3 linked regions of the Mytilus edulis genome follow. The protein of the gene in region 3 purifies or fractionates together with the protein of the main gene of each other region. This does not show direct contact. Links are inferred from orthologs where the notes say so. Each region holds a gene or a part of one and is shown on either strand. Other genes may lie near its edges.

Region 1 (7,876 bases), on a different chromosome or scaffold from region 3:
TGATGATACAAAACAATAAGTTATGGATTTAAATTTACATGTGTAATGATTAATAACCCAAAAAAATCTTCAGGATGTTAAAAAAACATGATGTTCAACATATATTAAATAATTTTAACAAGTAAAATAATTTAACAGATTAATAATTTTTAAAGAATTTACCTGTTTAAAAACTGAGTAAGACGAACAATTTTTCTTACTTTTTACACAAAAATTATACAAATAAACATGTAAACACAATAAAATACACCATGTTCACTCTAAATACATTTGTATCTGTTTTTATGCCTGCAGCAATGTTGAAAATTAATTTCCTTCATTTACTTTCTATAGACAAAAATAAACAGGAGTAAATAATGTCAAGATGTCTAACATGAGATTGCTGGTATAAATCTATTTACCTTTAAAGTTTCTGACACAGTTGCTGGCCATAAACATTTTATTCTTTTATTTGCTATTTATTCAGAAACAGCAGTCAAAAGGAAAAAATAAACGGCAACCATATTTGTACAATATAAATCTCAAAGATAATTCAATGTATTGCTTTTAGTTCAGTTTACATCTCATACATTTATTGAGGATATCTTTTTTTATTTCCTGTTCCTAAATACTTAAACGATACATTCCACTAACCTATGCTGGGCTACTTCTTTAATAATCACGCCTACGATATTTCAGATAAAGAGGAAGTTAAAAATTTTGATTCAACAAAAGTAACATTTAAGGACCATATCTTTCTGTTATCAATATCTCATCATATTTTATACAATGGAATATCAAAGAAACTTCAATATAAATATATATACATTAAAAATTAAATACACGAAAGAGTTTTAAAAGCAGCATTGTCTAGCGCTTTCATCAATCTTGGGACTTTTCAAGACTATGAATGTCGCTATGGGGAACACAAGCTTAATGCTTAGTAGTTACATGAACAATAACATCGTGTCATACTACTTTATATGTTATGAACAATGACGTTACGTCATAATACTAATGTGTTCCCCATAACAACGTTCATAGTCTTGAAAAGTCCCAAGATTGATGAAAGCGCTAGACAATGCTGCTTTTAAAACTCTTTTTGTGTATTTAATTTTTAATATATCATTCTGTACACCGCTTGAAAAGAAACGTTTTTTGAATATATATATATACATATACTATACAGAAAAGCCTAATATACATGTAAAGGACATTCAATGATTCATGGAACTAGTCAGAGATTGCTCTGAAGTCTTACAGCCTCTTTATAGGACTTGCTGGGGCCGTGGGACAATGGCCCGAGAGAGTCCCGAAAAGGTAGTCAGACATCAGAGCAGTCTCAGAATACCATTACCATGACTAACTCAGGACCAAAAAAACAGACCTTATCAGAGAAGAGGACTTTGAGGTAAAAAATGCAAAGTCTACAGCAGGACATGAAAAGGTTGGATTAACAAGACAGGTCACATACCCTTATTGAAAAAGATATTTGCACCCCAAAAAACAATTGAACATCAGAATCTTTAAACAAAGATGACAATGTGATTAAGTTATTGTTTTTGAAAGGCTGATACCAGTATTCAATTCTATCAAAAATAATGAAACACATTGTATTTGATGTAGGCACTTGTAAAACTGCAGTAATTTTTTTTCTTCTTTTTATGGACACCAAATACATTTGCACGCCCTTTCTCTAGTGATAATTTCTGTAGTAAAATTTTGTTAACTGGTTCTCCTACAATATATTCTTTTTTCCTTTTCTTTTAAATTATGGCTTGTTTAATTATATAACATGTATAATACTACTGAAATTTTCTCTATATTTTATTTTCAATCTCAACAAGAACCAACTACAGTGTTCATATCTTCAGGTTCACACAACAGGTAAAATTGAAATTATTTTTGGTCTTATATCAATTTCCTTTTAGAACCCTGGACAAAATGCTAGAGAATAACCAGAAGCCTAGCTCTAGCTCCTACTTGAACTACATTTTAAGACTGACGTAATCAAGACTGAGTTTAAATAAAAGCTTTCAATTGAATTTATATATTCCAGGCTGTTAAAACTTGAAACTAATTTCAAAACTGAAGACTGAGTACCAGTTTAATAAAACAGTTCCCTGTTCTAGTAGAGATTTTCCTCATTTCCATAGTTTTGATCTAGTTTAAACAAAAGACTACTTACAAAACATGTTTGGATTAATTTTAATTTAACTGCATTGAACAGTGCATTTTACCTTTCAAATTATATAATTTATTCAAAAAGTGATGTGACTTTGTATTTGATATGATTGTCTATAGCTACCTATCGGGATAAGATACATGACAGAACCTGTTATTGACTTTATATCAACAAAAAAAATCTTTATTCACCTTTTAACCACATAAGGAACTAAAATTATACAATAGAGTGTATACTTCATGTCATACAATCAGCTCACTATATCTTTTCCAGAAAAACACACACAAGTCACAATGTCCTTTTAAATGGAATCTTCTTATCATTTGTTAAGTTATCTATCTTATAGGTTACTATAACGTTTATTTTATGTCAATTTAACTTTTAACAAAAATCAAATCGTCTCACAGCACAAAAGAAATATACATGTTATAGCAGAGCTTTTATATATCACAGATCCTACCAATATAGTGTTTTAAAAGGCATCAATGAGTAGTTTACGTAATCTGTTATTACAGTAACTTGAATGCAATTCTATGAAATTATAACCCTTTTTTGTTCTGTAAAGATAAGAAGAAATGTTATAATTACAAATGAGACAACTCTTCATCAGAGACCAAAAGACGTAGAAGACAACAAGTACACATTAACAACTATCATGACTATAGGTAACCATGTGGATTTCAACAATAAGCATAACAATGCCGCATAGCAAGCTATAAAAGATGCAGAAATGACAAATATAAAACAATTTATATGAGAAAACTAACGGCTTGAATTTTTGTACGAAACAATCATAGAAAAACAAGTATAACAGACAGCCACAAATGAAGGCTCCTAACTTTGGACAGGCACATACATGACATAAAGAATGTGGGAGGGTAAAACAAAAGTTTGCAGGTGCCTAACCCTCCCCTCCCTCTTACCTAATGGCGACTTATGCCTTTCTTCAATCTGCATGATTATTATTGCGTAACTTTACCTATCAACTTCCTAATCATCTTCCTTCCTACATTCAATCTATTTTAAGCTTATAGTCCTAAATATAACTTTTTGGGCCTTTCCAATTTTTGTATATATGGTATTTAAAGTACATTAATTATCTTATTTCAGTGTTTCGTCAATAAGGTATTGCAAAATGTTTGTTCTTCCTTTGAAGGCTGTTTTTTACATGTAAAATGAGTCTTCGTCCTCTTTTTTGTGTCTTTTAAACTTTGGGAATAAATTAGTTTCTTATAATTAACAATAGTTTAACTTATTCATCTATCAAAAACTCAGTCATTGTCAGTAGAGAAAAATAAAAGTTAAATAAATTGAGAATGTGTCCACAAGACACAGATGATGCCCCAACATGCATAATACATTATAAAGGTAACTAACTTGAGAACTGTAGAAGTGACGCCACCCAAATTTGAACTTGATCTGTGTCTATGCAAATATGTGTTGTGTATTCTTTTAATATCATTTGGTTGAAGTAAATCAAAGTTAGCTAAAGGACAGAAACATTTGGGAATGGGGCTTAAGGTGGTACCTAACACTACAGGGAGATAACTCTGTAAAATCAGCTAAACGTTTTAATTACGTTGTGTTGTTAAGGGAATATTAAGCTTCTCAATGATCAAAATAAGTGTTTGTCAAACTGCTATATAACCAGTGTAATTTTTCTGACAAAACGGTTTGTTCAAATTTTTTGAAATTTTTATATTTTTGTAAAAGGGTCAAAGTAAATACTTTGTCAAAATTTTGAGAAAATTAAATGACCCAAATTAATTTTAGCTAAAGTGTTGGGTACCACCTTAAACAAACCAACAAGGAGAACATTTAAAAAAAAGCTTTGGTATGCATGTTTTAGTGTTTAGATTAAAAATGCATTTTTTTTAAAATGCAAAATGCATATTAAAAACACATGATTGAAATGAAGCTGCTAGAGGCACTCCTCAAAATTCTCCAGAAGCATACTTGTATATATATATATTCTTTATAGTCAAACTTGGTACAGGCACAAAAAAAAAGGTGCGTTTTAACAATTTTACATGCTCACAAATTTCCCTTTTGCCTTTTTCAGGTTACTGAATGCTGTAAAAGTAAAACACAAAATAAACAAGAATAAACCTTAATAGGACACAATTCCAAACTAGCACTATCACATTTTCATGTTCAATGAACAGCAAACCCGGGTATTACCCTTTTTATTTTGGCTTACAATTGTTTTTTAAATTTATATCATAATGAACAGGTGTACTGGGTTTAAAGTATATATATGATCACAATTTCACGGTAAAATACCTTAATCTGATGTAGGACTGAAATTTTGTCTTCATGTGTAATCCTCATTTAGTGTTACCAAAAAAATAGCTTTTTCTGATATCCAAGCATAATTTAAACATTTTGAATGGTGTGATATTTTGTCTCCTGTTTAAAATATTGTGCATCTAAATACATTTTGACACAAGGAATTAAATTGAGATATTATCACCAATGTACATTGATGGGTCATTTAACATTAAAAAAAAAATAAAATGAAATGACAAATTTAAATAAGCAGCTGCGTCGTGAGGGCCTGTCAAATTTTCAAAGAATATAGTTCAATTACTTCTCAATGCCAAATTAGAAATTTGTGAAAATCACAAGGGAGCTTACTTTAATAGAGATAAACAATTCACCAAAGGTTCATGAGAATTGCTGAAAGTATTTGTAAGTTATTATCATCCGAAAACTGAAAAATTCCCCCTTTTTTATGAATAAAACCCCATTACTCAGAAATGTAAAATCTAAAATTTATAAAATTCTTAAGGGGGCTTACATCAATAGATATTTAAACAATTCACAAAAGTTTCATGAGAACTGCTAAAGTATTTTTGACTAATTGTCTGATAACTGGAAAATTCATCTTTTTTGCAAACAACATGTACAAAACCCTGTAACTTAAAAAATCTAAAATCAAAAAAATCAAAAGGGAGCTCATGTTATGATATTAACAACTTGACAAAATTTTTTGCAAGTTGGTGAAATCATTCTTCAGTTATTATCAGAAACTTGAAATTTCCCCCTTTTTTAATGAATAAAACCTCATAACTTGGAAACATAATTCTAACATTTATAAAAAAAAAAAAGAAATTGAGCTCACGTAAGTATACTAATCTTTGCAACAGCTCATAGTTTACCAATCATGCAAAGTACACCTATGTTATAACAGAAAATATATTCCTGCAATAACATAAGGGTGTTATTACAGTTTCTCTATATCTCTTTAGAGGCTTTGCTCAGACTTGCATAACAATGTATTTCAATTCATTGTAAGAAATGTCAACACATTTTGTGTCAATAGATATAAACAATTCACCAAAGTAAGCAAAGTTTTATGCAAATTTATTAAAGTCTTTTGGAGTTAATGTCCAACATGTTGATAGTGGACGGACGGACAGACAACAAATGGTACCATAATACGTCCTGTAAACAGGCATATAAAAATGTAAGTAACTATATTTTTTTTCTAAGAATTCACAACTTGTTTTGATAACCACATTTATTTCACATGTAAAATTATGGGTATTATTTCAACGGGAAATCTATATACATGTACATGTAAGTCATGGCAACCAATCATGTAATAAAGTGCATGGTTTTCAAGATTTTAAAACTAATTCTGTAAACAAGCATTATAAAAGCCTATGCATAAATAGTGATTTGTTGAACATTTAAACATGTAAATTCATGGTAAAGATAACTGTTAGTACACATGTTACAGTTACCCACACATAAGTTAGAACTGAAAAAGTAAATGAAATCACATGCAGTAAAAATAATCAGTGTTTGTGTTAACCCAAATAGAAGATGCTACAGTCTACAGCCTTTGTGCCCTTAGACTTCTGCCCCCCCCCCCCCCCCCCTCAAATGCCCTTGTGCTGTTTTGGCAATGTTACTATAAACATTGCCATATCGGGTGATATCGCGTGTAATATTTCTTGTCAGAAATTAAATTATATTCAAGACACCTGATGATTGCCCTGAGGTTTATAATGTTGTAAGAATCAATTAAGGTAGATAAGACTTCTAAGGTACAGGTAATTAACTATTGTCTACATGTAAAAATTGATTCTTAATTTGATGAATGTGGCAACATGTGTTTGGTCATGAGGTCAGTGTGCCAGAATCAATGTTCAATTTTGCTTTTGAGCAATTGAGTATGCTGTTGAATAATGCCCTAAAAAAATAATTTGAAGAAATTTTCTTATTATTTCTAAAATCTGAAATGAGAGAAAAAGTGTAACCCCCCACAAATTCTTATTTACCCCCCCCCCCTTTTTCCAATTTGTTTTCACCTCCCCTTCCCCTTACTCCAAAAATAATCTCAATTTAAATTTCTAATGGAGTTTGCAACAATACATGTAAGTACTCATTAAAATATTAAAATACAAGAGGCTGTCACAACGACAGCAAACCGGATTTATTAACATTTATTTGTGTCCTGGCAATATCACAAGAACCATTACTGATGAATGATGAAAGTGAAAATCATCAATATCAAATTTGACCTCCATTTTGTCATCAGTATCAACATGTTAAAATTTGAAAAGCTTAGATTGAATGGTTTATGAGTAAATGTAACAACGTGAATGGAAACGCCATTTTACGATCTTTCAAGAACCATAACTCCTGAACGGTAAAAGTCAAAATCGTCATTATTGTACTTGACCTCTATTTTGTCATCAGTAACAACATATGAAAATTTCAAAAGTTTTGGTTGAATGGTTCATGAGAAAATGCACGGACACGACTGGAAACACCATTTTTCAATCTTTCAAGAACCATAACTCCTGAACGGTAAAAGTCAAAATCGTCATAATTGAACTTGACCTCTATTTTGTCATCAGTAACAACATATAAAAATTTCAAAAGCTTTGGTTGAATGGTTCATGAGAAAATGCATGGATATGACTGGAAACACCATTTTTCAATCTTTCAAGAACCATAACTCCTAAACGGTAAAAGTCAAAATCGTCATAATTGAACTTGACCTCCATTTTGTCATCAGTAACAACATATTAAAATTTGGGAAGTTTTGGAAGAACAGTTCATGTGTAAATGCACGGACATGACTGGAAACTCCATTTTTCAATCTTTCAAGAACCATAACTCCTGAACGGTAAAAGTCAAAATCGCCATTATTGAACTTGACCTTCATTTAGTTGTCAGTAACAACATATTAAAATTTTAAAAGCTTTGGCCGGTTAATAAAATGATATACATGTCAGTTATGCATTTTGTCATGGTTTAAGTAAATATCAATTAAAAGTAACTTCTATTTTATTTGTACAGCTAATCATTTTAAGACAATTATCAACAAAATTCTCTAAACCTCCCTTACACTGCTTTTAAATTGTCTAAATTGCCTTTAACCAGAAAAACCTTTGTTTTTCCCCTTTTTTGTCCCTATCTGCTTAATGATTTGAGCCATAACCCCCCATAACCGTCCCTTTGTAATATGGAAACTTGTGATATAATTTCAGAGAGATTTATACACTTAAACACAAGTTATCAGTTATTGACTTGAAACTACAAAAATGCTTATTTGGGCCCCTTTTGGCCCCCAACTTTTTGAAACTCCCCTTGGAGCAAGAGCCCTAAAACTCAATTTCAGCCTTTCCTTTGTAGTAAAAAACCTTGAACATGTAGTATAATTTCTAGAAAAATGTTTGTTTTTGGCCCTTTTTT
Region 2 (7,826 bases), on a different chromosome or scaffold from region 3:
TAGAATATAAACATGATCAGAATCCTCAAAGAAGGAATGGAACTTTACAATGTACTTGTGTGATATACTTCTGTGGATGTTGATTTCTTGTGTCATCTGAAAAATATAAGTTTTATAAATAATTATGTACAGCATACATATGAATTCTGTTTTATAAAATCATTTTTTCTTTTGAATTTAGCATTTTATTTATCTTTATGTAAGAAACTAACCTGAATAGTTAGACTTTCCTTGCAATTGATCCCTCTCACTCGCAAGGGCCTGATCACAATGCAAGTGAACTCTTGATACAAATGCAAAACACTTCAATTATTTCTATTGGCTTTTTTATAATTGAGTAAATAAACATAATTATATAAAGTACCTTGTCCTTCTGATGTTGTTTAACCAGCAGTGATTTGGGAACAACCTTCCCAGCAAATAGTTCTTTTGTTTCCACATCTGTCAACTCGTAGCATTTAGCAAATCCTCCCTGTAAATAAGGTACAAAACATTTAAATTTACAGTGTCTTCCACTTCATGTTTTGCAGTGTCTGTAAAAAGGGGAAAACTATAATTCAGGACCTATAATTCCTTGGTGCTGTCTGCTATATTTGTTTTTAGCATAAATGATATCAAGATGTTTGTTTAATACTAAGAATTTGTTTCACATTTATTGATTAAGTTTACTGTTATATATGAAACTTTAAAAGCTTTATTTATACTATATTGTATCATACCCCCCCCCCCCCCCTTTTTCATGATTTAAGGCAGTTGTGCGCCCTTTAGTTGTTTACATCCTTTGGACTCTGATGAAAAATTGTCTCATTGGCAATAATACAACTTGATAGTACAGTGTACAGCAGTTAGTCCGTTTTTTTTTTTATCTTCATAGCCACATTTTTGGGAATTAATTAAATCTTCAGTAAGAAAGCTAAGTAAGGCCGTTAGTTTTCTCGTTTGAATTGTTTTACATTGTCTTATTGGGGTCTTTTATAGCTGACTATGCGGTATGGGCTTTGCTCATTGTTGAAGGCCGTACAGTGACCTATAGTTGTTAATGTCTGTGTCATTTTGGTCTTTTGTGGATAGTTGTCTTATTGGCAATCATACAACATCTTCTTTTTTATATATAGCACTAAATATATATCTAATTATAAGTTACAAATATATAAAAAAAAAAACTTATCAGCATGTTAGGAAAAAAATACTATTAAAAATAATAGTAAACTTTTTTTTTGCAGAGCAGAACTGTACTTCACCATACAATGTATGTACAAGGGGTGAAGACAACACAATTTCTTAATAGTTACAAGAAACACATATTTTATTTTGGTCTATAGAAGTACAGTGAATCAAAAACTAACCATTGATCTGAATAGACATTTAATTAATTGCAGACAAATCTTGTTTAGTTAATCATGTTAATCTGATTTGTAAAAAACAAGCTCTTAATGGATTAATTTCATTTAAATATCTAATCCATATTTTACCCATAGAACTATAAATCTTTATTTTTGCACTGGATATATATATCTTAAATCATTATGAGGGTGGCTGTTTTTAGCACAGACATATAATATTTATACAAAATGTAGTGCACTGCAAGCATAATTTATTGATGGCAAGCTAAACACAGGTTTAATGTACATAATGTTACTTTTCAAATTTTGTATATTGCTATTTTGGAAATCTGTGCGCAACAAGTTCACTGAAAACTTGACACACTGGAATTATGAAGTCATACAACAATCAAATTTCCTTAGTGATGCCAATATTTTCTATGTCTATAATGATATGATTACTACAAAATTTTACAAGACTATTTAGATGTCCAGTCATTGCCAACAAAAATGCCTTCTCCTCACAAATTTAATACTGTGTATTACCAACAGTCACCTTAATGATTTGTCTAAATTAATTAAATGCTTCCTTTTATCACATATTTCTGTGAACCAATAATAATTCAGCCATGGTGTCTTGGGGCCAAATAATGATTAACCTTAATGTTCGTACCATGACAGCAAATATCTGATATCTAATTTATTTTTATATCCCTAAAATTTGATACCCAAAACATCTTGAACACCTTCATTATTATCTGGAGTGGAGATCAGTTTTTTCACTGTAAATTTCCCGATTTTGCAGTGTATTCCAAACTCTGTCTAACTGACAAAATGTCAGACAAAAATTCATTCGGTCAGACAGACATCCTCAAATTTTTTAGGTGAATATATAGTGGAAAAACTTCAAATTTCTTTTTCAGTCAAACAAAACCTAAAAGTTTGGCAGACTGTTTTGCCTTTTGGATATGGTTTAGGATGTTCCCCCAATCCTCAACCTCCTTACATTCAAATTCTACTAGGTTAAAGATGTGATTGATATCCGATACACCTTATGGATATTTTCCACCATTACTGGATTGCACAAATTATAATGACCATGCCATGATACAAAAAAATCTGAAGCCACAATGGAAAAGCGATTGTTGTATGAGGTCAAAAGTTCAATGGGACAGAATCTCGGGTCAACCAGGACAGATTTCCAAATATGTGTATTAATTTTTTTTTAGCATAAAGAAATCAGCTGTATGTTAACAATGTTAAACATATAAAATTCTGGATCTTTGCCAAAATCTCAGCTTAGAAAATTATACAAAGAAAGGTAAAATAATTATCAGGTTTGTTTCCTTATATTGAAATCACGCGAAACATTTTTAAAATTGACTTTTCATAGATGAATAATTTTGAAATTTGTGTATTTTTTATTTGTTATACTATCATAACACAAATCTTAGACATGTCATAACTTGCATAATCAATAAAATAATAAGGTAAAGGTATCAAATTACTTTTAAAAATGTATATATTGAGTAAACTCTTTTATTGAAATTCTAATATGTAAGTAAAAGGCATAGAATTTTTTATTTAGATTCAAATGTGTTACCTTTCCGAGAAATCTTCCTTTCAAATATCGTTTCCCTGAGCTTGGATCCACAACCATGTCAGGAATTATATCTTTTTTCATCTCTTCTCTTCTCGCGCTAGACATTTTGATATTTCTATTTGGATGCGTAGGTCAGGTAAAAGAAAAAAGCATGAGAGATTATTTCACCGCAGTAGTATTTTAAAAAGAGTTGTCTCTATTTTTCAAAAATATCGTAGTCTCCATTCAACTTCACAGACGAATTTCAAATTTGAGTACTTCGGAAGGTATTCAAATCAACAATAATTTGATTGGTCAGATCTTAAAACCGCACTTTTGATTGGTCAATTGGCTCCGCCAGGTGGACATGTTGTTTCTTGTCACCTTTTGGAATACCTCGGATATTTTCCATGCAATACACAGACGACTATTCATACTATTTAATTGGTTGAATAGTATTGAAGTAGACCAATCAAAATTCTGATATCTAAAAATAATACCGGAAGTTGAAGATTGCAATACACAAAAATGTCAATGCTTGCAGAACCTCGAAGAAAACAAAAGCTATCTATTGACCCAAGAGGTTCAAACTGGAGTAAAGGTATTGGGGGTTTACAGAAGAATTGTCTATATATGTCACTCTTTCATTACCACATTGTCAAAATAAAGAGAAGTACGGGAAGCAAAATAAAAATGAACTGTTATTTACCACGTGTTCCTGAAGTTGAACTAAAGTTATGATGACTTATTTTGTATACTGTACATTTGTATCTCTTGTTACTGTCATTTTGTATGCTGGACAGTATTCTGTTTGGGCACGAATTGATTGTATATATATCATGATCTGAATAAACTATAATATAATCATAGTTTGCATTCAAATTTAACCCAAAGTACACTAACAAACATGTGCCAATAACACACATAGGCACCCCAGTAGTTGTAAAGTCAGTTGATATTTGGTTCTTAAACAGTCATGTGACAACACGTAGTTATCTTCTTAATTAGTTTTATGGTTGATAGAACATGTGTCAATAGTACAACTGTCAGTAATAAGGTAATTAAATTGGTGTGTACACTACGTTTTTCATTAATTATTTTAAAGGTATTTGAAAAGGTGTCCAACTGTACACATTGCTGTATTCAGCTGTTTTTATTTAAATTAAAATTCTTTATTAACTTTGACCCTTACCATACTTACGGCAGTGATGGCTTTTCAATACTTTAAATTAACTGACATAAGTCTTAATGTTCATCTATTTATTTTGTTAACATCCTTGCTTATTGCTTTCATGTAATCTGTTAAAGAAAAAAAGTTTTTATAATATAAAATATGTTAACAAATAATTTATTTCAAATAAGATGAACAACATTGTCCATCACAATAAAATTCTTCTAGTAGTTGGAGTATGCAATATACATGTAACTTACAGGCTAATTTTATGAGATATTTTATTTAGTCTTAGTTCGTTATGAGCTGAGTTAATACGTGATCCTCCAATTGGTGCTTTTTTGTGGAAATTTTATGTCTCTTAAAGTAAATTTCTTTCTGTCTGTCTCAAGGCCTGTTGCGAGTTTCCCATCAAATGACCCCAGTTCAACTGGAGCAGTTGATGAATTTTGAATCAAATTTGAAACCAGTTTAACTAAAAACTGAACAGGATTTTACTGTGTGTATTTTACTGTTCCTTCAAAGTAGTTTCAAGTTGGAATTCCCATAAAATAATGAATTAAATGGAATGTTTTGATTGACATGCACAATTGAGTGGCAATAGAAATATTCACCATAGTAATAGGGAATTTAAACTGTTTAACTGGGTAGACTTTCTTAAATGCAATGCATATCTGTCCTCTTGAGAGTAGATTTTGTGGTATAAACATATTTGTCTACTATAGCTAGGGGATGTTTTATGACCTTGACTTCACATGAGGGTAACATTTGTCAATCCTTTTGATGAACCATAATCAAGATACACTCAAATTGCATCTGCAGTGATATTGTTGGCTTTTTTCATAACTACCTCTACCCTTTTTTATTGGGAAGATATGCATCATTTGTATCAAATTGGGAAATTTGTAATAAACCATGAATTTGACTGGAACTTCAATTTGCAGATCCCCTTTTAAGAGGTAAACCCTCATTTGAAATAAAAGCCCTTATTGTCAGTGATGATACATAAATAGACCCTGAAATCTGTACATATAGTAATTTTAAGGCATGAAAAATGTTTAAATGAGTGTTTTTCAGTTTGTATTCATGCACAATTACTACTTGACTGCACTGTTTGGGAAAAAAATTGTCTTTTTGGGAATAATTTTAAGCCATTTTATTTTCAAATTGGGATTCTTCTCCAGGGGAAAAAGCCTTTATTCTCCAGTAATTTAAGAAAAACAATATCACTGATCTGGAAAATGAGGAATTTGATTTTAGATTTCAAAAATCACAATTAACATAAAACTTTTTGAAATATTTCAGATGAATCTAAATTTGGACAGAAAATGTTGGAGAAGTTTGGATGGTCTAAAGGAAAGGGACTTGGGGCAAACGAAGATGGGCTAACAGATCATGTAAAAGTATCTCTGAAAAATGACAATCATGGTTAGTATTTATTCTGTCTGTTAGTTATATGATATGAACTGAAAGATGAAAATCTTTGATGTTCTGTATTATTTAGCTAAAATAGACACCAAGAACTGTACCATTTTACAACAAGGCAAACTTGGGCACAATAAACAAAGAAGTAAATAACTTAAATAATATAATATAAGAAAATCTAAAAACATATTTTGTTGATGAACCTTGGCAAGAATTAAAAACAAAACTTAACCAACTAGTCCCCGAGTCTATTGAACACCCAGAGATGAAAAAAACATATAAACATATATATAAGCAACTCAAACGTCAAGTACAAAAACAACTTAGACATTCATACTGCCAGTACACTGAACATATAGTTACACCAAAACCTGCGGAAAAATACTTTTCTAACAAGAAAAAACTTGGTCTGCAAAGTACATAATTACAAATACCTTAAATTGGGTTATTTTGGTTGTAGTTTTATTTTGGCTTTTTTGGTGCCTCCAATGAAATTGCCAAAATTAAACACACGAAAATAAATCAAAAACTAAAAATTGACGCTCGAATCAAAATTTTTTAAAAAGGCCAAATAAAGTACGAAGTTTAAAACATTTAGAACCAAAATTCCTAAAAAAATTGCCAAATACAGTTAAGGTAATCTATTCCTGAGGTAGAAAAGCCTTTGATTTCAAAAATTCAGTTTAGTTAACAGTTAATTTATAATTATGAACATATCAATGATAACTCAAGTCAACACAGATATCTATTTATATATATTAATTTGATATCTATTGCAATGTTTATTTTTAAGGTCTTGGATGTTCTAAAAGTCAAGTAGATAACTGGATAGCACATCAGGACGACTTCAATGCTCTCCTAGCTAACCTTAATCAATCTAATACACAGATTGATACTGAAAAGGTATCCAGTCTTGAAAACAGATCAAAAACATCTAAAAGTCGTGTACAGTAAGTTTGTTTGTTCATAAGCTAAGAAATAATTTTATAATCTTGCTTGTTTAAAGATATTGTCTATTTCTATTTATTAGACATCATAAGTTTGTTTCTTGTCTTTACAATCTTGATTTTTATGAATCATCATTTGTTTGATTATAATACACCTACAGCTTGTAACATTGTTCAGAAAATCTATTACATTTCATAAAGTAATTTCTCAACACGAACCATATACATGATTGAATTTACAACTTCATTAGTACCAGATGTAATGTGTACATATGAAAAACTAATTTGTAATATTTACATTTGTATTTATAACAACTTTGTAGATACATGTAACTGGCAAACATACTAAAATGTGTACAATTTTCCATTAGTAAATGATATCATGCTCTCTACTTTTTCAGTGATTTATCTTAAAATATTTCAGTTACCAGAAGTTTACAAAAGGTAAAGACCTTTCTGCAAAATCCAGTCAAGACCTTGATTGTATATTTGGTAGACGTACAACAAAAACAGAGGATACCGTAGTCTCGGTTAGAATCAATTTCCAAATTCTACATAAATTGAAATGTTTAAATAAGAAAACTATCTAGATCTCAGAATGAATGAAATGTACATAAAGAGAGGTTTTATATGCCACAAACAATATTAGGGGGGGGGGGGGGGGGGCATTATAATTTCTGGTCTATCTTTCTGTCCCTTACTAAGTGTTTGGTCAAGGTAGTTTACCATGAAGTTGTACTCGCATCAACTTAGTTTATTACACTTGTTCATTATAATGTGAACTTTCTGTATTTTTCAAAATGGGCTCGGTGTTCTATGGACAGATATTAATTATTTTAACTCACAATAAATCAATGCACAATAAAGTATGACATCTAAGATATTACAGTAAAATGGCTCTAAATCAATCAATGTGAGTCAACATTTGAAGATTATCTTTGATATTGAATGCAGTACAAGAAAATGTAGAAAGATGAACAGAATTAATTACTGCAGATAAATTGATCATGATATACAAACGTCATCATTGGCATGACCTTAGTATATATATATATACAGAACCATGTCCTATTGATCACAAAAATTTGCATTAAGAAAAATTAGCACTTTAAGTCATTTCAGCTACTTCTACTCTGTTTATTACAATAAAATTGAACTTTGTTTATTTTTCAACCCTAACATGCAGATGTGAAATTTGGGTAGAATGTTTGTATTTTTCCATGTTTTTATTTTTATTCTTTATACTTGGGTATGACATGTATGATATTCAAATTACATAGTTCTTCTAACATTAAATATTTTTTCATTCAATTACAGGAAACTCCCAATAATGATGGTGATATTGATCCCATGGAGAAAGTTAAAGGAGGATTTATTAC
Region 3 (8,524 bases):
AAAAAAATGTTTGAAGTTTTCAAGAAATTTTCTTTTTTATTTATGAAATTTCAAATGAGAAAAATTGAACCCAATTTTTTTAATCACATCCCCCTTTCCCTTATTCCAAAACTAATCTCAATTAAAATTTCTAATGGAGTTTGCAACAATAACTACTCATTTAAATACATCATAAAATATTAAGATGTAAAAAAACTGCTTGTTATCACTGAATGGTAAAGATTATTTTAATTTATCAGTTGGTAGTAAAAAGTGAATATACATTGTATATTGTATATAACAAAGATTTAAGTTGATTCTGGACAAAGAAAGATAACTCCAATTAAAAAAAAATCTTGCTATTGCACAATATTTTGCAATTAGATATTTCTTGCTTACTATTCTGGACAAAGAAAGATAACTCTAATTAATTTTTTTTTTGATATTTCACAATATTGTGCAATTAGATATTTCTTGCCATTGCGCAATACTGTGCAATTGAAAAGACTTGCTATTGCACAATACTTAATATAATAATTTTAGATCCTGATTTGGATCAACTTGAAAACTGGGCCCATAATAAAAAATCTAAGTACATTTTTGAATTCAGCATATCAAAGAACTTCAAGATTTCAATTTTTGTTAAAATCAGACTAAGTTTAATTTTGGACCCTTTGGACTTTAGTGTAGACCAATTTGAAAACAGGACCAAAAATGAAGAATCTACATACACAGTTAGATTTGGTATATCAAAGAACCCCATTTATTCAATTTTTGATGAAATCAAACAAAGTTTAATTTTGGACCCCGATTTGGACCAACTTGAAAACTGGGCCAATAATCAAGAATCTAAGTACATTTTTAGATTCAGCATATCAAAGAACCTAACTGATTCATTTTTTGTCAAAATCAAACTAAGTTTAATTTTGGACCCTTTGGACCTTAATGTAGACCAATTTGAAACGGGACCAAAAGTTAAGAATCTACATACACAGTCATGACAGGTAGATTCGGCATATCAAAGAACCCCAATTATTCAATTTTGATGAAATCAAACAAAAGTTTAATTTTGGACCCTTTGGGCCCCTTATTATGTTGGGACCAAAACTCCCAAAATCAAACCCAACCTTTCTTTTATGGTCATAAACCTTGTGTTTAAATTTCATAGATTTCTATTTACTTATACTAACGTTATGGTGCGAAAACCAAGAAAAATGCTTATTTGGGTCCCTTTTTGGCCCCTAATTCCTAAACTGTTGGGACCTAAACTCCCAAAATCAATACCAACCTTCCTTTTGTAGTCATTAACATTGTGTTTAAATTTCATTGATTTCTATTTACTTAAACTAATGTTATAGTGCGAAAACCAAGAATAATGCTTATTTGGGCCCTTTTTTGGCCCCTAATTCCTAAACTGTTGAGACCAAAACTCCCAAAATCAATCCCAACCGTTCTTTTGTGGTCATAAACCTTGTGTCAAAATTTCATAGATTTCTATTAACTTAAACTAAAGTTATAGTGCGAAAACCAAGAAAATGCTTATTTGGGCCCTTTTTGGCCCCTAATTCCTAAAATGTTGGGACCAAAACTCCCAAAATCAATACCAACCTTCCTTTTGTGGTCATAAACCTTGTGTTAAAATTTCATAGATTTCCATTCACTTTTACTAAAGTTAGAGTGCGAAAACTAAAAGTATTCGGACGCCGGACGACGACGACGACGACGACGACGACGCCAACGTGATAGCAATATACGACGAAAATTTTTTCAAAATTTGCGGTCGTATAAAAATGTACTTTTAAGATATCAAGACTAGAAATGCAAGTAATTCATGTAATTTAGAAAATAGAGAACTTTTGGTAACAAGCATCTTTTCTGGATGTACCTTTATGGGATATAAGACAGATCCCTTGAAAATGCAGGATAAAAGAGAAATCATTCTGACAGACATGCAAAATTATCAGAATTGCCTAACCAGAGGAATTATATTGGGAAAACCCAGATTTTAAATTAAAGTCAAAGACATTTGGTTATAGAAGGGGCCCTTAGGAATTACAATTTTGCATGTTATTATGTAGAGTGAAATTTAAGGTTAAATTATTATGAAAGAAAAAAGTAACTTGACTTCAAATGGAAAAAGAAAAATTATAAAGTATTTACGTCAATCCAATGAATCTTATCTTCAATCACAGAGTTCGGAAATCTTTTGATTCACATAATCTATTATCATGATTATGGCACTGAATCTATATATCTGACAAAGATATCATAAATAAAGCCTGCAAGTATATTTTGTTGCCAGGACCACTAAGGCAGTATGTGATAAAACCAATGCAAAACTGTTCTGTTTAATCAAAAATAATGTCATGTAAATAAGGCACCAAATTAAACTCCAGGGAAATTGTGTTTTCATTACCATGATTACCAGAAATTATAAGAGTATTAATTGTGAGGCCAAATTAATTAGTTACAGAAGTACTTATCTTCCACAACTATAGATGCACCAAAAAAAAAAAATGTAGTCAATATCAAATGACAAAATCACTTTTTTCGATCAATGATATTTATTCATTTACCATGTTTACAAAACAATATTTAGTAAAATATACTTAATATAGTTTACAGTATGACCATTATGAAAAAATGTGACTGCAGTCTGCATATTGAATAATCAATATGGTCAAATTGGTAATGTGACTGAATCAGCCTGTGGCCAAACTTATTTTGTAACTGAAATGCATCAATTTAGCGTACACATGCAGCGGTAGTCCAAACAATTTATCTTGCAATATAAAAAAGAAGATGTGGTATGATTGCCAATGAGACAACTATCCACAAAAGACCAAAATGACACAGACATTAACAACTATAGGTCACTGTACGGCCTTCAACAATGAGCAAAGCCCATACCGCATAGTCAGCTATAAAAGGCACCGATAAGACAATGTAAAACAATTCAAACAAGAAAACTAACGGCCTTATTTATGTAAAAAAATGATCGAAAAACAAATATGTCACACATAAACAAACGAAAACCACTGAATTACAGGCTCCTGACTTGGGACAGGCATATACATAAATAATGTGGCAGGGTTAAACATGTTGCAAGACATCATAATTATTTGAACTATAAACTATAAAAGCAGGGGTTGAGGTGTGATATGAGTATTGAGGGTTTTGAGGATTCAAAGTCGTAGAGATTAAAGGTTTCTGATTAATTTATTTGTGCTCATGCATCGGTTGTTATTATACTCCGCATTAAAGCAAAAGATGTCTCTTGTGAATACCTGATCTGCTACTTTTCGCAGCTGTTTTTCCCTTTCATACTGTGTCAACAACTGCTCATTATCATCTCTCAAGAGTTCCAATTCTACATCTGATTCTTGTTTATCTTGCAGCGCCTGGTCCAAACCTTCTAAAAGACCTACAGTTAATGGCATTAACTCTTTGACTACATCTTCGTCGTACTTTTTAATCATCCTTTCAAATTCTTTGTAAACATTCGTGGCAAGTGCTGAAACCTTTTCTGACATGACATGGCCCTCCTCGTTAGTTCCATACACCGTTTCGGCTATCTCAGCCATCTTTCAAATTTTCAATCAGCTATAAAATATATAATTGAGTTTGCTAAATATAGCTACATTTTGTTTATACGTATGGGATTTGATCAAAAGGAAATAATTCTGTTTTGACGTCTGAGCTGTCGTCCATATTGACAAGTTGATGTATAAATTAATCATGTGATGTACAGAGCATGCGTTGGCGAAAGAATGAGCCACTTCCGGTTTGGGGGCCAATACAAAAACAAACATGACTGGGTTCAGGCACCTCAGGAGAATTTCGGGTGCCATTTCGAAGTTTATTGCACCACAAAAAATACGAGTAACACACTTAAGATTTTCCTCCCAAATACTGCAGGGCAAAACAGTCAGAATAGGATGTGCCTGCGGTTTTTGGGGGGATACAGCTGTGGCTGGTAAGAGTTCAAAGTTTGTATTAGGTCAATTCGTCCCATAAAATCGCCCCAAGTATTACTTTTAAACTTAATTTTAATTAATGATTCCCCCTCCCTAGCAAACAGCAAGACAATATAGAAATATTGTTAAAGATAAATCTAACAAGATTGAAATTTCAAGATTTTTAATTCAATAACATGTTGGGTCAAAATAATTATTTGCTATTAGTATTAGTGTGACAGGATTGCTTCCCTTAGAAAAACTTAGTAGATACTTAGTCAGCCGTAAGCGGTTGAGCTATGGAAGTACTTCTTTAGCTCAGTCGGTTAGCGCGCTGCCTTGTAACACAGAGGTCCCGGGTTCGAGTCCCGGTGGAGACAAGCAATTTTGTAATGAAATTCGTGCTCTCCGGTTACATTGGCGCCCAACAATAATAACCCACGGTTAAAATATAAATATAAAAAAGATGAAAATATCATCATTATAGAGTATAATGACTCTTGAGGTGGGGGAAGTGTAACAGGATTGCTGCCCTTAGAAAAACTTAGTAGTTACTTACATTGTAGTCAGCCGTAAGCGGTTGAGCTAAGGAAGTACTTCTTTAGCTCAGTCGGTTAGCGTGCTGCCTTGTAACACAGAGGTCCCGGGTTTGAGTCCCTGTGGAGGCAATTTTGTAATGAAATTTGTGCTCTCAGGTTACATTAGCATAAATGTAATAATGGGTATTACATCTATGGTATTGGTAGTATGGTGATGTGTTTCTTAGAGTTTATGAATTTGTACACTAAATCCATTGGATGTGTACTGATTAATACTTAAGTCTGGTAATATATTTTTTATTTACTGCTCTAGTTGAAGACTAAGTTGGCTTTGAACTACATTTCAGCAACTTTGAGTACCCTTAATTCAGTGCTTTTTTTTGTCTTACCGTTATATTTGTTTTTCATGTAGAAATTTTTTAATTGTTTTTATTCCTTCTACCAATCTTTGGTTTTGTTTCTCTGACAGTCTTAAGTGTTTTGTATGCTGTTTGCTCTTGTTTTTCTTTTTTTGCCAGGACATTTTAAATTTAGACTCATGGTATCTTTCACCTCTCTTTTGAAGCCATTTAAAAAATGTGCTTGTATTGACATCCTATTTTGCTTGAGAATAAAACATTATCTGTAATCTCTGTTTGGTTAAATTTTGTTGATTCATTTATTATTTTATAAGATTAATTTATGTTTATTAGCTCCTCAATTTATCTATGGTACAAAGTTAGACTTTCTTTAATAGTTAATAATACTTTTTAGCTCCTCAATTGATCTATACTAAGGTACAAAGTTAGACTTTCTATAAGTAGTTTTATATTTTTTAGCTCCTCAATTGATCTATTTGGTACAAATATGACTTTCTATAATTTTAATTTTATGTTATATATTTTAGTTCCTCGATTGATCTATGGTACAAAGTTATACTTTCTATAAATAATTTTATATTTTTTAGCTCCTCAATTGATCTATGGTACAAAGTTAGACTTTCTATAATTTATGTTGTATTTTTTAGCTCCTCAATTGATCTATGGTACAAAGTTAAACTTTCTATAATTTATGTTATATTTTTTAGCTCCTCAATTAATCTATGGTACACTTTCTATAATTTTAAATTTACATGTTATGTTGTATTTTTTAGCTCCTCAATTGATCTATGGTACAAAGTTAGATTACCTGGTGTTTGATTACCTGTCAGAGATCACAATGTCGCTGTTAATTTCAGCTAAACATAAGTATCCCGTAAGTAGATTTTATTTACATGTCACTTTAAGATCATAGATTGAAAGATACTGAATAATTGAATAATGGAGTTGATTGAAGTCATGAAGATGGCTATATGTTATCTTCAAAATGATTGTAATGAAACCAGCCATCCCACACAAATGCAAAGAAATTTTTAATGACATTGAATGTTTTTGTAATGGAATGATAACATTGACTTCACTTAAGGTGGTACCTAACACTACAGGGAGATAACTCTGTAAAATAAGCTAAACGTTTTCATTATGTGGTGTTGTTAAGTAAATATTGAGCTTCTCAATGATCAGTGAAACTGCTGTATAACCAGTGTAATTTTTCTGATAAAATAGTTGGTTCAATTTTTTTGAAATTTTTATATTTTTGTCAAAGGGTCAAAGTTAATATCTTGTCAAAATTTTATGAAATTTAAACAAGCAAAATTAATCTAAGTGAAGATGTTAGGTACAACCTTAATATTTCATTGAAAACCCACCAATTAATAATTTATTTTTTCCCAAAGAAATACAGTGATGGCTTCAATATTGTGTAGCAGATTGACAGTTAAATATGTTGTATTTTTCATTTTGATCACCAACATTATTACATAAACAGCATATTTCACAAATCTATAAAGTAATTCAGTATTAATGTATTTAATTGTAGAATCTAGGGTATGCACCTGATTTTGTACAGATTTGTATGGCACCATTCATCAAAGATATCAAGTCTAAAGGTATTGTTTTATATATATATCAAATAAAGATTGACTGTCATTTCATTGCCAATAAGATTTTTTGGACCCTGTACATTTAGCCATGGTTCATTGACTTTGACTTTTTTTGCATAACTTACACGTTACAGTATTGCTATTTTAATTTTAACATTTGCATTTTACAATCAAAGTAACAAAAAGGTGAGACTTATCTCTGTGGTAACAGTTTACTTTTGCTTTCAGACTCTCCCTCAAATTGGCAAAAATACAACCTGCCTAAAGAATTAAATGGTTTACTTATAAATTAAGTAATTGATTTGGACTTGCAATTGTTTGATTGGAGCAACACTGATGAGTCCCTATGTATTTGGTTGTTTAATAACAGCCTGATATCTTTAATGAATTTTGACAGTATACATTCTTCATATATATCATAGGTATAAAAGTGATAAGTAATGCTGGTGGTGTAAATCCACAGGCCTGTGCTGATGCATTAAAACAGATATGTGCTTCAGTTGGTGTCGAGATGAATATTGCTGTTGTTACTGGTGATGACCTAATGCCTAAGGTATAAAACAGACACAATTAAATGATAGTTGTATAAAATATGTTGCTAGGGATACAAAAAAATATTCATTAGAAAGTAGGCCTTAGAATTTAGGAAGAACTTTTTTAATACTGTTCATAATGACGACAAGATCAACTTAAAATTAAAGGCTAATGTAGAATTTTCCCCTATGTATAATAACCATTTAGGAGAGAATATGTTATGTGAAAATTTGTGACAAATATTGATAATGTTATAAAAATTCTGCTGATATATTAACATAAGAAACAAGGCTTTATATATTGATTGACCACCAATTTTAAAAGTTTTAATACAGTGAATTATTTAGTATGATTTTTCATTTTTCCTTTGTTTAGTATTTATTGCTTATTTCAGAGCAAAGAATTGATCAACAGTTCAATCACTGATATGGATTCAGGTGATCAATTCCCTAAAACTGTACACAGTATGAATGCATATTTAGGGTAAGTTGGTGAAATACATTACAGTTAAGGGTAATGTTTTTTCTCTAAATATGAAAATGAGGACAACGAAGGAGGAGTGTTATAAATGATTGCCAATGAGACAACTTTCCATCAGAGACCAAAGGATTTATCTAACAAAGGGAACGAAGGAGGAGTGTTATAAATGATTGCCAATGAGACAACTTTCCATCAAAGACCAAAGGATTTATCTAATAAAGGGAACGAAGGAGGAGTGTTATAAATGATTGCCAATGAGACAACTTTCCATCAAAGACCAAAGGATTTATCTAATAAAGGGAACGAAGGAGGAGTGTTATAAATGATTGCCAATGAGACAACTTTCCATCAGATACCAAAGGATTTATCTAATAAAGGGTCACTCGCTGTCACATTACAGCCTTAATCAATGAGCAAAATCCATATTTTTAACTATGGAATAAAGGGTCTGCATTACAAAATGTGAAACAATTTTTAAAAGAGAAATAAACAACCTGATTTCTGCTTAAAACACAAATAAAAGAAAAACATGACAGACATGGCTGAAATCCATAGTTTTCAGAAATTATTTTATCTTCTTTACTACTCACCAATCAAACATTCATTTCACCAAGAATCACCATTTTATACTAGGACGACCTTTTATCAAGGTTAAACATACACCAAGAAAAAGTCCCTGATTATGAATTTAGTGACTGTCTCACTCTCTCAGAGGTCCACAGCTATGTTTCATTTGTCATTGCCAGTGATCTTTTCTCTGTTAATGAATTATAGTTTGTGTTCACATCATCTTGACACTTAGTATGCAAGTTGATTATGGAGTGAACTGAGTAATATCTGTGTCAAATTAGCATTTTGACCCATATTTACTGGTTCCCTGAACATTAAAGTTGTGGTTTAGGTATGTTATCACCATAGTCTTATTAATGATGTTATCTCAAGATGAAATTAAGGCTAAGAGGCAAAACCTATCATATTGTTAGGAATTACCATGTTTTGCTCATTGTTGAAGACTGTAGACTGATCTTTAGATTCTAACATCTACATCATTTGGGATGTGTTGTATAGTTTCTCAT

Evidence for each region. The genes of interacting proteins can lie anywhere in the genome.
Region 1: the proteins of C-Jun-amino-terminal kinase-interacting protein 4-like (region 3) and nuclear factor NF-kappa-B p105 subunit-like purify together in Homo sapiens (affinity purification with mass spectrometry; 5 studies listed by BioGRID and IntAct, with this or other methods). This does not show direct contact. The link is inferred for Mytilus edulis from reciprocal best matches to the Homo sapiens genes SPAG9 and NFKB1.
Region 2: the proteins of C-Jun-amino-terminal kinase-interacting protein 4-like (region 3) and serine/threonine-protein kinase PLK1-like purify together in Homo sapiens (affinity purification with mass spectrometry; 7 studies listed by BioGRID and IntAct, counting the BioPlex papers as one, with this or other methods). This does not show direct contact. The link is inferred for Mytilus edulis from reciprocal best matches to the Homo sapiens genes SPAG9 and PLK1.

The regions. Positions count from the first base shown.
Region 1 is NC_092352.1:47,167,447-47,175,322, forward strand, and holds the start of nuclear factor NF-kappa-B p105 subunit-like, read right to left. Parts: upstream 3,209-7,876; 5' UTR 3,163-3,208; coding exon of another isoform or gene 3,144-3,162; 5' UTR 3,122-3,143; coding exon 3,088-3,121; intron 1-3,087.
Region 2 is NC_092350.1:30,189,596-30,197,421, forward strand, and holds the start of serine/threonine-protein kinase PLK1-like, read right to left. Parts: upstream 3,209-7,826; 5' UTR 3,031-3,208; coding exon 2,926-3,030; intron 473-2,925; coding exon 365-472; intron 97-364; coding exon 1-96. Other genes in the region: PIN2/TERF1-interacting telomerase inhibitor 1-like, read left to right, coding at 3,433-3,505, 5,381-5,503, 6,294-6,450, 6,872-6,977, 7,765-7,826. UniProt on the Homo sapiens protein: Serine/threonine-protein kinase that performs several important functions throughout M phase of the cell cycle, including the regulation of centrosome maturation and spindle assembly, the removal of cohesins from chromosome arms, the inactivation of anaphase-promoting complex/cyclosome (APC/C) inhibitors, and the regulation of mitotic exit and cytokinesis.
Region 3 is NC_092351.1:70,274,828-70,283,351, reverse strand, and holds the start of C-Jun-amino-terminal kinase-interacting protein 4-like, read right to left. Parts: upstream 3,729-8,524; 5' UTR 3,564-3,728; coding exon 3,267-3,563; intron 1-3,266. Other genes in the region: uncharacterized protein, read left to right, coding at 3,790-3,955, 5,607-5,707, 6,371-6,440, 6,857-6,987, 7,363-7,451. UniProt on the Homo sapiens protein: The JNK-interacting protein (JIP) group of scaffold proteins selectively mediates JNK signaling by aggregating specific components of the MAPK cascade to form a functional JNK signaling module.